2 linked regions of the Oryctolagus cuniculus genome follow. The protein of the gene in region 1 purifies or fractionates together with the protein of each later gene. This does not show direct contact. Links are inferred from orthologs where the notes say so. Each region holds a gene or a part of one and is shown on either strand. Other genes may lie near its edges.

What was found.
Region 2: the proteins of SDC2 (region 1) and CAMKV purify together in Homo sapiens (affinity purification with mass spectrometry; 3 studies listed by BioGRID and IntAct, counting the BioPlex papers as one, with this or other methods). This does not show direct contact. The link is inferred for Oryctolagus cuniculus from reciprocal best matches to the Homo sapiens genes SDC2 and CAMKV.

What each region holds. Positions count from the first base shown.
Region 1 is NC_091437.1:122,168,758-122,173,010, forward strand, and holds the end of SDC2 (syndecan-2), read left to right. Parts: intron 1-1,363; coding exon 1,364-1,499; intron 1,500-2,397; coding exon 2,398-2,561; 3' UTR 2,562-3,668; downstream 3,669-4,253. UniProt on the Homo sapiens protein: Cell surface proteoglycan which regulates dendritic arbor morphogenesis.
Region 2 is NC_091441.1:99,387,152-99,391,413, forward strand, and holds the start of CAMKV (caM kinase-like vesicle-associated protein), read left to right. Parts: upstream 1-1,212; 5' UTR 1,213-1,359; intron 1,360-2,314; exon of another isoform or gene 2,315-2,531; intron 2,532-4,262. UniProt on the Homo sapiens protein: Does not appear to have detectable kinase activity.

The sequences.
Region 1 (4,253 bases):
TGAGAATCAATGATGGTTTTTAGCTCTTGTCTCTTTTGTTGAGGAACAATATTTTGTTTTGTTTTCTCTTCATATTATTTGTTGAACTCTTTTACTTAGGGTAGCATTAACCATATGACTATTAAGTATACTATAAAAAAAAGATCATTGTAAAAATTAGGAGTAGGAATTCGAGAGGAAGGTGGAGGAAGAGTTGGAGCATGGGTGGGAGGGAATTTGTGGGGAGTGCTGCTCATGCACCTGGGAAAGCAGCAGAAGATGGCCCAAAGTCCTTCGGCCTCTTCACCCATGTGGGAGACCCGGATGAAGCTCCTGGCTTCAGCCTGGCCCTGCCCTGGCCATTGCAACCGTTTGGGGAGTGAACCAGCCAATGGAAGATCTCTCTCTCTCTCTCTTTCTTAAAACTCACTTTGGAAAAAATAATTCTTAAAAAAAAAAAAGAACAGAAAAAGAAATAGACTCCAAGGGAGAAATTTAAGAGAATAGAGACTCTCTTAAATTGATATGGGAAAACATAAAATATGAAATGTGCTAGAGAATAATTAGTTCCCCCACCCCCTCAAATATGGTCCCATTAATGGAACTAGAAAAGAGAGCTGATCTGATTGAGAAATTACTTTTTAGATTTGACATGTAGGGTGAAAAGTGATACAGCTGAGGGTAAATGTCTTGTGGGCTGCTGGCCAGGTAGGAGTAAAGGCTGACTGGAGATGAGGCTGTGAGAGTTACATAGATTTATAGTTTTGTATTGTGGAACTTCCAAAAGCCTGAGAATGTCCTTAATTATTCAGATGAGGAAACTGGTGCAGAAAAGTAGAATGGTTTGGTCAGAGTCCCACAAGAGCTACATGGAGAGCCCAGGTCCCCCTGAAGTTCTTGTCCAGGCTTCACTGAAGGTACAGGACTAAGTAGTGTAAACCTTTACAGAATAAGACTGAGGGGGCCTCTACAGGAACTATCATCACACTGCTGTGGGGAGCAAAGACATGAAGGAGTAAGGAAAATTAGCACCATGCAATTGGATTAAAGCAGCCAAAGGGAGACGCTAGCCTGAAGTCAGAGGAGTGGCAAGAAACTAGAGATCATAGGAGATGTCAACCAAACAATGTCATTGGAATTATGATAAAAATCACTGGCCGTCCATCTTGCCTGTTCATGTGATGGGTGTCGTGCAAATCCATGGCTCCTTGAATCCACCTTGGAACTCACACGTTGGAGTAAACATCAATGAAGTGATTATTCCAGTGACTTCCTAAGTGCATGACTGGAAGAAAGGGATCTCCAGAATCTAGTCTTCTGGTAGCCCTTTCTTTCCAGCATATGCTTAAAAATTGATATAATGTTTCTCTTTCTCCCATCCCAGTCACCGGAAGAAATTGATAAGGAAAAAGTTCACCTCTCTGACTCAGAAAGGAAAATGGACCCAGCTGAAGAGGGCACAAACGTGTTCACCGAGAAACACTCAGACAATCTGTTTAAACGAACAGAAGTCCTTGCAGGTGAGTGGCTGGTGGCCATCTGGGGACAGGCTGAGTAAGTGATGTTCAGAGGGGCGGCCAAGCTTGCTGAGTGGCACCTTCCTGCTGAATGCAGTCTTGAGAGCCCTTTATTGCATGGTGAAAGATTTGGCAAGCATCCTGTTTGTCTTCTACCAGCAGCATCACCCATTGGGTAGGAGTGGAGAGTGGGAAGTCACAAAGAGGAAAGTTAAGAACTGAATGGTGCAGAACAGCAGGGCATGGCAGGTTGGCAGGATATGAAGACCAGTCAGTCTTGCTTCAGGTCATCCTGATTTCAAAATAAAGAGAAAGATAAAGGTCTTCGGGAGTGGAGGGCACAAGTGGGAGGTGGTTGACAGAAATACAACCCAAAGTGTTAAGAATGTTGACTCTATATGTAGCCTGCATAAGTACTAACACTAGGTTTCAAAGGGGAATATTTGCAAGATAAAGCAATACCTAATCCTTGGAAGGATAGACTCAGAAGCCAGACTAGAAAGAATTTCCATGCTTTTTTCATCTTTACACTTAAAACTTTTGAGTCAATGATATCCTGTGTTGTGTTTCACTGAAAAAGCAGTGGGGTGATGGAAATATGAAATGTGAATACTGAGAAGATGACGGCATTTTAAGTGCGGGATTAGTTGAGGTCACAGGCAGATTTTTCTTATTGAAGCTTTTGGGTAATACTAATACTAATCAAAGAAAGTATTGTACCTTCCTGAGGAGTGTCAGATTTGCATAATTACCTGGTTACTTTACTGAATCCAGTTTTTAAAAAAGTTTAGATTTTCAAATTAAGCCTTTTATAAAAGTGTAAATAGATTGGGCTTGACAAAGTAAAGTTCTGCAGCCTTGAATCTCTTCTAAAAGCAATCTTTCTTCTGGCATGTTTCAGCTGTCATTGCCGGGGGAGTCATCGGCTTTCTCTTTGCAATCTTCCTTATCCTGCTGTTGGTGTATCGCATGAGAAAGAAGGATGAAGGCAGCTATGACCTTGGAGAACGCAAACCATCCAGTGCTGCTTATCAGAAGGCACCTACTAAGGAGTTTTATGCATAAAACTTCCACTTAGTGTCTCTATTTGTGAGATCACTGAACTTTTCAAAATAAAGCTTTTGCATAGAATAATGAAGATCTTTGTTTTTTTGTTTTTGTTTTTATTTTCATTAAAGAGCCATTCTGGCACTTTAATGATAAAATCCCATTGTATTTAAAACTTTTCATGTATTTCTTTAGAACAACATAAAATTAAAATTTAACATCTGCAGTGTTCTGTGAATAGCAGTGGCAAAATATTATGTTATGAAAACCTTCGATGTCCATGAAATTGGTTTAAACTTTTATGTGCAAATATGAAAAGATTGTTTTTATACTATGGATTGAAGATGAGAGCTGTTTTTGTTTGTGTCAGCATGTCTGGGATTGACCTTACCAAGTGGGTCTTATTTTGTTAATTTATCTGTTGTCCCCCTCTTTTCCTCTGCCCTGCCCTCTGTCCCCTTAAAACCAAAACCAAATCCTATGCCTTTTGTAGCTGTCATGGTGCAATTTGTCTTTGGAGAATTCAGATAATGGTAATTTAGTGTATATGTGATTTTCAAATATGTAAACTTTAACTTCCACTTTGTGTAAATTTTTCAGTGTCAGACTGTCCATTTTACACTTGCTTTATTTTTCATTACCTGTAGCTTCAGGCAGATTTGCAAGAGCAAGTTAATGTGTAAAATTGGATTATTACTACAAAACTGTTTAGTCACATCTGTCCAATCAGATCTTCTCTTGGGAGGATTGGATGGGAGTTACTCAGCAAATCCAAAGATGCTAACAGTATTTTGAGAAGTTGCTGCAGATTTCTTTGGCCACTGTATTTGTTAATTTCTTGCAATTTGAAGGTACGAGTAGGGGTTTAAAGAAAAAACCAGTTTTTGTTCTAAAAAATGCATTTAAGTTGTAAACATCTTTTTAAGCCTTTGAAGTGCCTATGATTCTATGTAACTCGTCGCAGACTGGTGTTAAATGAGTATATATAACAGTTTAAAAAAAAAGTTGGTATTTTATAAGCACAGACAATTCTAATGGTAACTTTTGTAGTCTTATGAATAGACAAAAATTGTAATTTGGGAACATAAAAACTACTGAATAAATCATGTGGCCTCATATTGAAAATGTCACTGTTATACATTTTGTACATTTTCGATCAAATGTACAACTCCCCGTTGCTAATGAATGTCTGCCCTCGAGGATGATGTGGGTTTGATTTCTAAGTGTTCCATGGTGTCTGTAAATCAAAACCAAAGAGCCCATCAGTGAGGCTGCTTATTACCAGATTCACTTCTGGACTGGCCGGAGGAAATCTGAGTGTATCATCCTCTGTGTGTTTGGGTACAGTTATGGGAAGGCTACCAGGGAATTTTGAAGTTTACAACCTTTATAGGATAGCTGATGGCAATGTTGAGACAGATGCCTGCTTTTGCAAACCACGCTGAAGACCATAAATTCCAAAGAATTGCAGGAGACTTTCTGGAAGCCAATCTCTGACAGTCTCACAGACTGATTTACCTTTGAGCCTGTGCTCCAAATCTCTCCTGAAGCTTAACTGAAGAACGAATAGATGGCATACCATAGCTCACATTATGGGGAAGGAGAGATGGCAGAGGAGCTCTGTGGCTTAAATGAGGGCCTTGCTGTGTAGGAGGGAAGTGACTGGGAAGAGTGATGCCTGAGGAGGAGGTGGAAGTGTGAGGGCACCTT
Region 2 (4,262 bases), on another chromosome or scaffold:
GCACACCCTACCATGTGCTCTCACCCACGTGCACAGAGTGTGCACGGAACCCAGAAGAGGTGGAGTACTGCCAGCAGCAAGCAGGGCTCCAGTGAGCCACCCCTTCCCCCTGCCTTTCCGTCCCCATCTCAGCTTCTCCTCAGCCCCACTGCCTGGATAGCATGACTCTCAGGAAAGAAAATGTGTGTGTCCTGTGTGGGGTCAGCAAACCATGGCTTGGCTGTGCCATACAACTCACAGACCCATTGTTTTCAGAACAGTGGGCACTTGGCAGGGAGGGCTGAGCGCCAGGCCACTCATTCATTCTGCAGACGTTAGCTGAGCGTGGTGAGATGAGGTTCCTATCCAGCCACGGGGTTGGTGCTGTGATCAAGATCACCCAGAGCCCACGCTGCCCCAAGGCAGACACAACCTGGCCCGGAGGAGATGACCCAAAGCCAAGGAAGGCTGTGAAGGGGGCTTCTCACTGTCCCTCTGGAGGAAGGCTTTGAGTGGCCTTGTTGGGGCAGCCACTTCCCAGGCTAGCCTTCCAGCCTCAGGACCAGCTTCTTCCCTGGATGGTCCCTCCATCAGCAGCCGTGTGTCGCCATGCAGGGGAACATCACTCTGCAAAGAGGAGGGTTTGGGAATGACCCTGTTTCTTCTCATCCCAAGGCAGAGGCAAAAGGCTCACTGGGTGGGGTTGGAAAGTGTGGGGAGCAAACCGGACTAGACTGTTACTGGAATTAAGGCTTATTCTATGCATCTGCTCTCCCACAATATGGCGCTGGGAGAGAAGTAAACAGCTTCCGCACAGCTGCCTCCAGTTCAACCAATTAACTGTAGGACTTGCTCCTGATTGGAGAGCAGCGTACTCGGCGTGTGGGCAGCCGAGTTGGGATTGGCGGAGGAGGACTATAAAGGAGGAGAGAAACGGCATGCACCGGGGAACATTTATGGGGAACATCTAAGGGAACCCGTGCAGCCCCCGAGAGAACCGGCCGGCGGAGTGCCGCTCCCCTGCGGAAGTGGGGAATGTGGCCAGGGGGAACTGCCCTTCCACGGAGGTGGAAGGGATAGTAGCCAACCCGGGAAGAACCAGCAGAAAACCCGGGGAGGGCCGAGCAGACGAAAGAACAGCGCAGGGTCCTGTGTTGCTCCTCCACGAAGAGGGGGAGCGACAGGAAAGGACGAGCCCAGCTCCAGACATCGAAAGAGCCAAGTCCGGCCTTTGGACTCTGACCAAAGGATGGTCCTCAAGGCTTGAGAAGACTGGGGCAGGCACTGGGCCCAAGTGGACCCAGCGCCTGCCTGGCAGAAGACAGATCAATGGCCAAGGATATCCTTCAAACTTTCCTCCCAGCAGATCTGAGCCTCCAGGTAGGAGACAGGCTTGGTGAGGCATGGTGGTGCCACAGTTCTCCTGTGTTCCCGTACCGTAGCCCAGGCCACTTAGGAAGCTGCTGTTCTTAAAGTGTTAGAGGGTGATTAGATGGGGAGGAAAGCAGTCTGTGTCACATCATATGTGACTTTCATAGTTTGGGAAATTCAGTGTCACAAAAGAGAGGGCAGACAAGGCACCTTTTTTTAATTTGTTCATTTGAAAGGCAGAGAGAGCGAGAGAGACCTTCCACCTGCTGGTTCACTCCCCAAATGCTCACGACAGCCAGGGCTGGGCCAGGCTGAAGCCAGGAGCCAGGAACTCCGTCCAGGTCTCCCACGTGTGTGGAAAGTACTTGAGCCACCATCTGCCGTCTCCCAGGGTGTCCACTAGCAGGAAGCTGGGCCTGAAGCAGAGCTGAGACTTGAACCAGGCGATGGACATGAGAGGCTGGCATCTTAAGGGTGACTTAGGTGCTGAGCCAAACGCCTGCCCCTGCCTGTGACTTATGATTGGGAGACTTTGGCTTGCAAGAGTTGGGGGTAAGGAAGATAGAAGGCTGTGCTACCATACAGGGTTACATGCTGCCCACTTGCATATACCACGTGTGTTTACCACTCGTCAGGGGAGGCCCCTGTGTACTGCCCAGTGACTGTCCATGCAGTCCCTCTACATGCGACCTGCCCTTTGAGTCAGGAACCCTCCGAAACCCCCACTCCCCCAGATTACTGCCTGCCAAGATTTAAGTGCAGCTCCAAGACTAAGGCTTTCTCCCCATTCCCACCACCCCCGACCCCGGCCCTGGGCGCCAGGAGTCCAAGGGGCTAAGGGAGCTGTTGAGAGCCTGGCTGGGGCTGGGCAGGCCAACGTTCACCAGCTCTGAGGCTAGCCAGTGGGCGCCTGCCCTCGAGTGGGACTCCAGCCTCCGGCTCCTCCAGGGTCGGGGCGGGGCCGGCTGAGAGGCCCCGCCCCCAGCCCGCCCCCGGCCCAGGGTGCGAATCCGGTGCGGGCGAGCGACTGGCGATGCTGGAGGTTCGTGAGCCAAAGCGGCTGCAGCTGGCGCCGCGTCTGCCCCGCGTGCCCGGAGCGGATTCTGCCCGCCGCCCACGGACCCCTCGGCGCCCTGCTGAGCCCGCGATCCTTTCCTCCCTGTGACCAACCGGCGCTGCAGGTGCGAGGCGGGCCCGGCCGGGCTGGGGTGGGGTGGGGGGGTGCCTCCTGGATGCATGCTGTGGGATTTTGGGGAATTGTTCCCCCGGCTCCAGGTTCTGGGCGCAGAGTGCGCGGGGGAGCTGCGAGGGTTCGAAGTCCCCGCGGGGGCAGAACGCGCGGGCTCTGCAGATCCCGGGGGCGGCGTGCGGGGTCGGGCTAAAGTTCCTCATTGCCTCGGACGGCTCCAGGGCCCCAGGGGAAGCCTCTGCGGCTCCGATTGTAATAACATTTAACCCTCGAAGATTCGTGGTGCCCCGTGAGGGTAGGGGCCATGAGCCGAGCCGTCCCTCCCCGCTCCCTGAGCCGCTCCGGCCCCTCCCAACTGCCCCCGGGTCCCCTCCCTCCCGCTTAGCAGTCACTAATTTCCATGACAACGGAGAGTTCTTTCTGGGCGACAACCCGGAGGGGGCTGGGCGGGGCTGCTGCGGGGTGGGGGAGGAGGCCCCAAGACCCTGGGGACTAGCAGTCCCCTAGCCACGATCCGGTTTTCCAGCCTTCACGTGAGGGCCAGCCTGGGGGTCCAGCGCACCGACGCACGTGCGCGGTTTCGGGGGGAGGGGCGCACATGTTCCTGCTGGGAGCTGCGGGCTTGGTGCTCACACGTGTGCCTCCCGCATGTGTGTTGCTGTGCCAGCGGGGGCGAGCCAGCAGCACTGAGGAAGGGGGTCAGGGTGGCGCCACGGGGAAGAGCAGGGCCCTAGGCTGGTGGTGGTGTGTAGGGAGGGGACAGATAAAGCCCTGAACTTCTGCCCTCCCCAGGCTGTACTGCCTGGTAGAGACCCTGGGCTCTTGAGTCCCACTCCCCACCCCCAAGTAGCTCTGACAAATTGCTTTTGTCTGCACCCCCCAGGCAGAGTCTGCTCTGCCAGGTTCCTTCCTAGGAGTAGGGCCCGCTGTCCCTCACCAAAACCTGAGCCTGCATTCATCCATCCCCTGGGCTGCCCCTCCCAGATGCAGGTATTGAGTCCCCCAGGCCCACCATCAGAGACCTGGCGCCCTCCACCCCTGCCAGCTCCAGCATCTGAGACTCAGTTTACCCCACTGGGAGGTTTGTGTGTCCCCTTCCCTCAGAGTCCGGCTGCTCTCCCCAGGGTGGGGCTAGGGTCCCTTCCATTCCCTCTGAGCACAGGCGCCTGGGCTGGCCCCTCAGGGATCTGCAGCCTCCCTTCCTCTCCACTCCATGCCTGCCCACACTCCCCGGCAGGCAGGCAGGCAGGCTTCCACCCTGGGAGGCCGCAGGGTCCCTGATTTCTGTTCGGGGAAACTGAGGCATGGGGACGGGAGGGGTGATGTGGTTGTTCTGCTGTTTCTGGGTTGCTTAGGGAGCTGTTTCTGGCCCTCCTGGTAGGGTGGATGTGACAGGATTAAGCTGAGCTGTAAGAGAGGCTCTGGGGACCTCGGGCCTGAGAGGATGGCAGATGGTGGGTCTTGACTGGGCCAGCTGAGAGGAGCGATGGATCCTGAAGGAGTCTTCATCTCCATCCTCCATGCTTGTGCCTTCGACACGTTGGATGTACCCTAAGCTGCCGCAGTGGCAGGGAGAGGGGTTGGGGAACCGTCCTGACCGGGGGGGCTGCAACAGTTGGCTTCTTCCCCACCAGGAGAGCCCAAGAAACTGGCTGCTTTTTGGCTGTGCCTCCCACACCAAGTTCAGTGTCTGTCTGGGGGAAATAGGAGGATTCAGACTTGA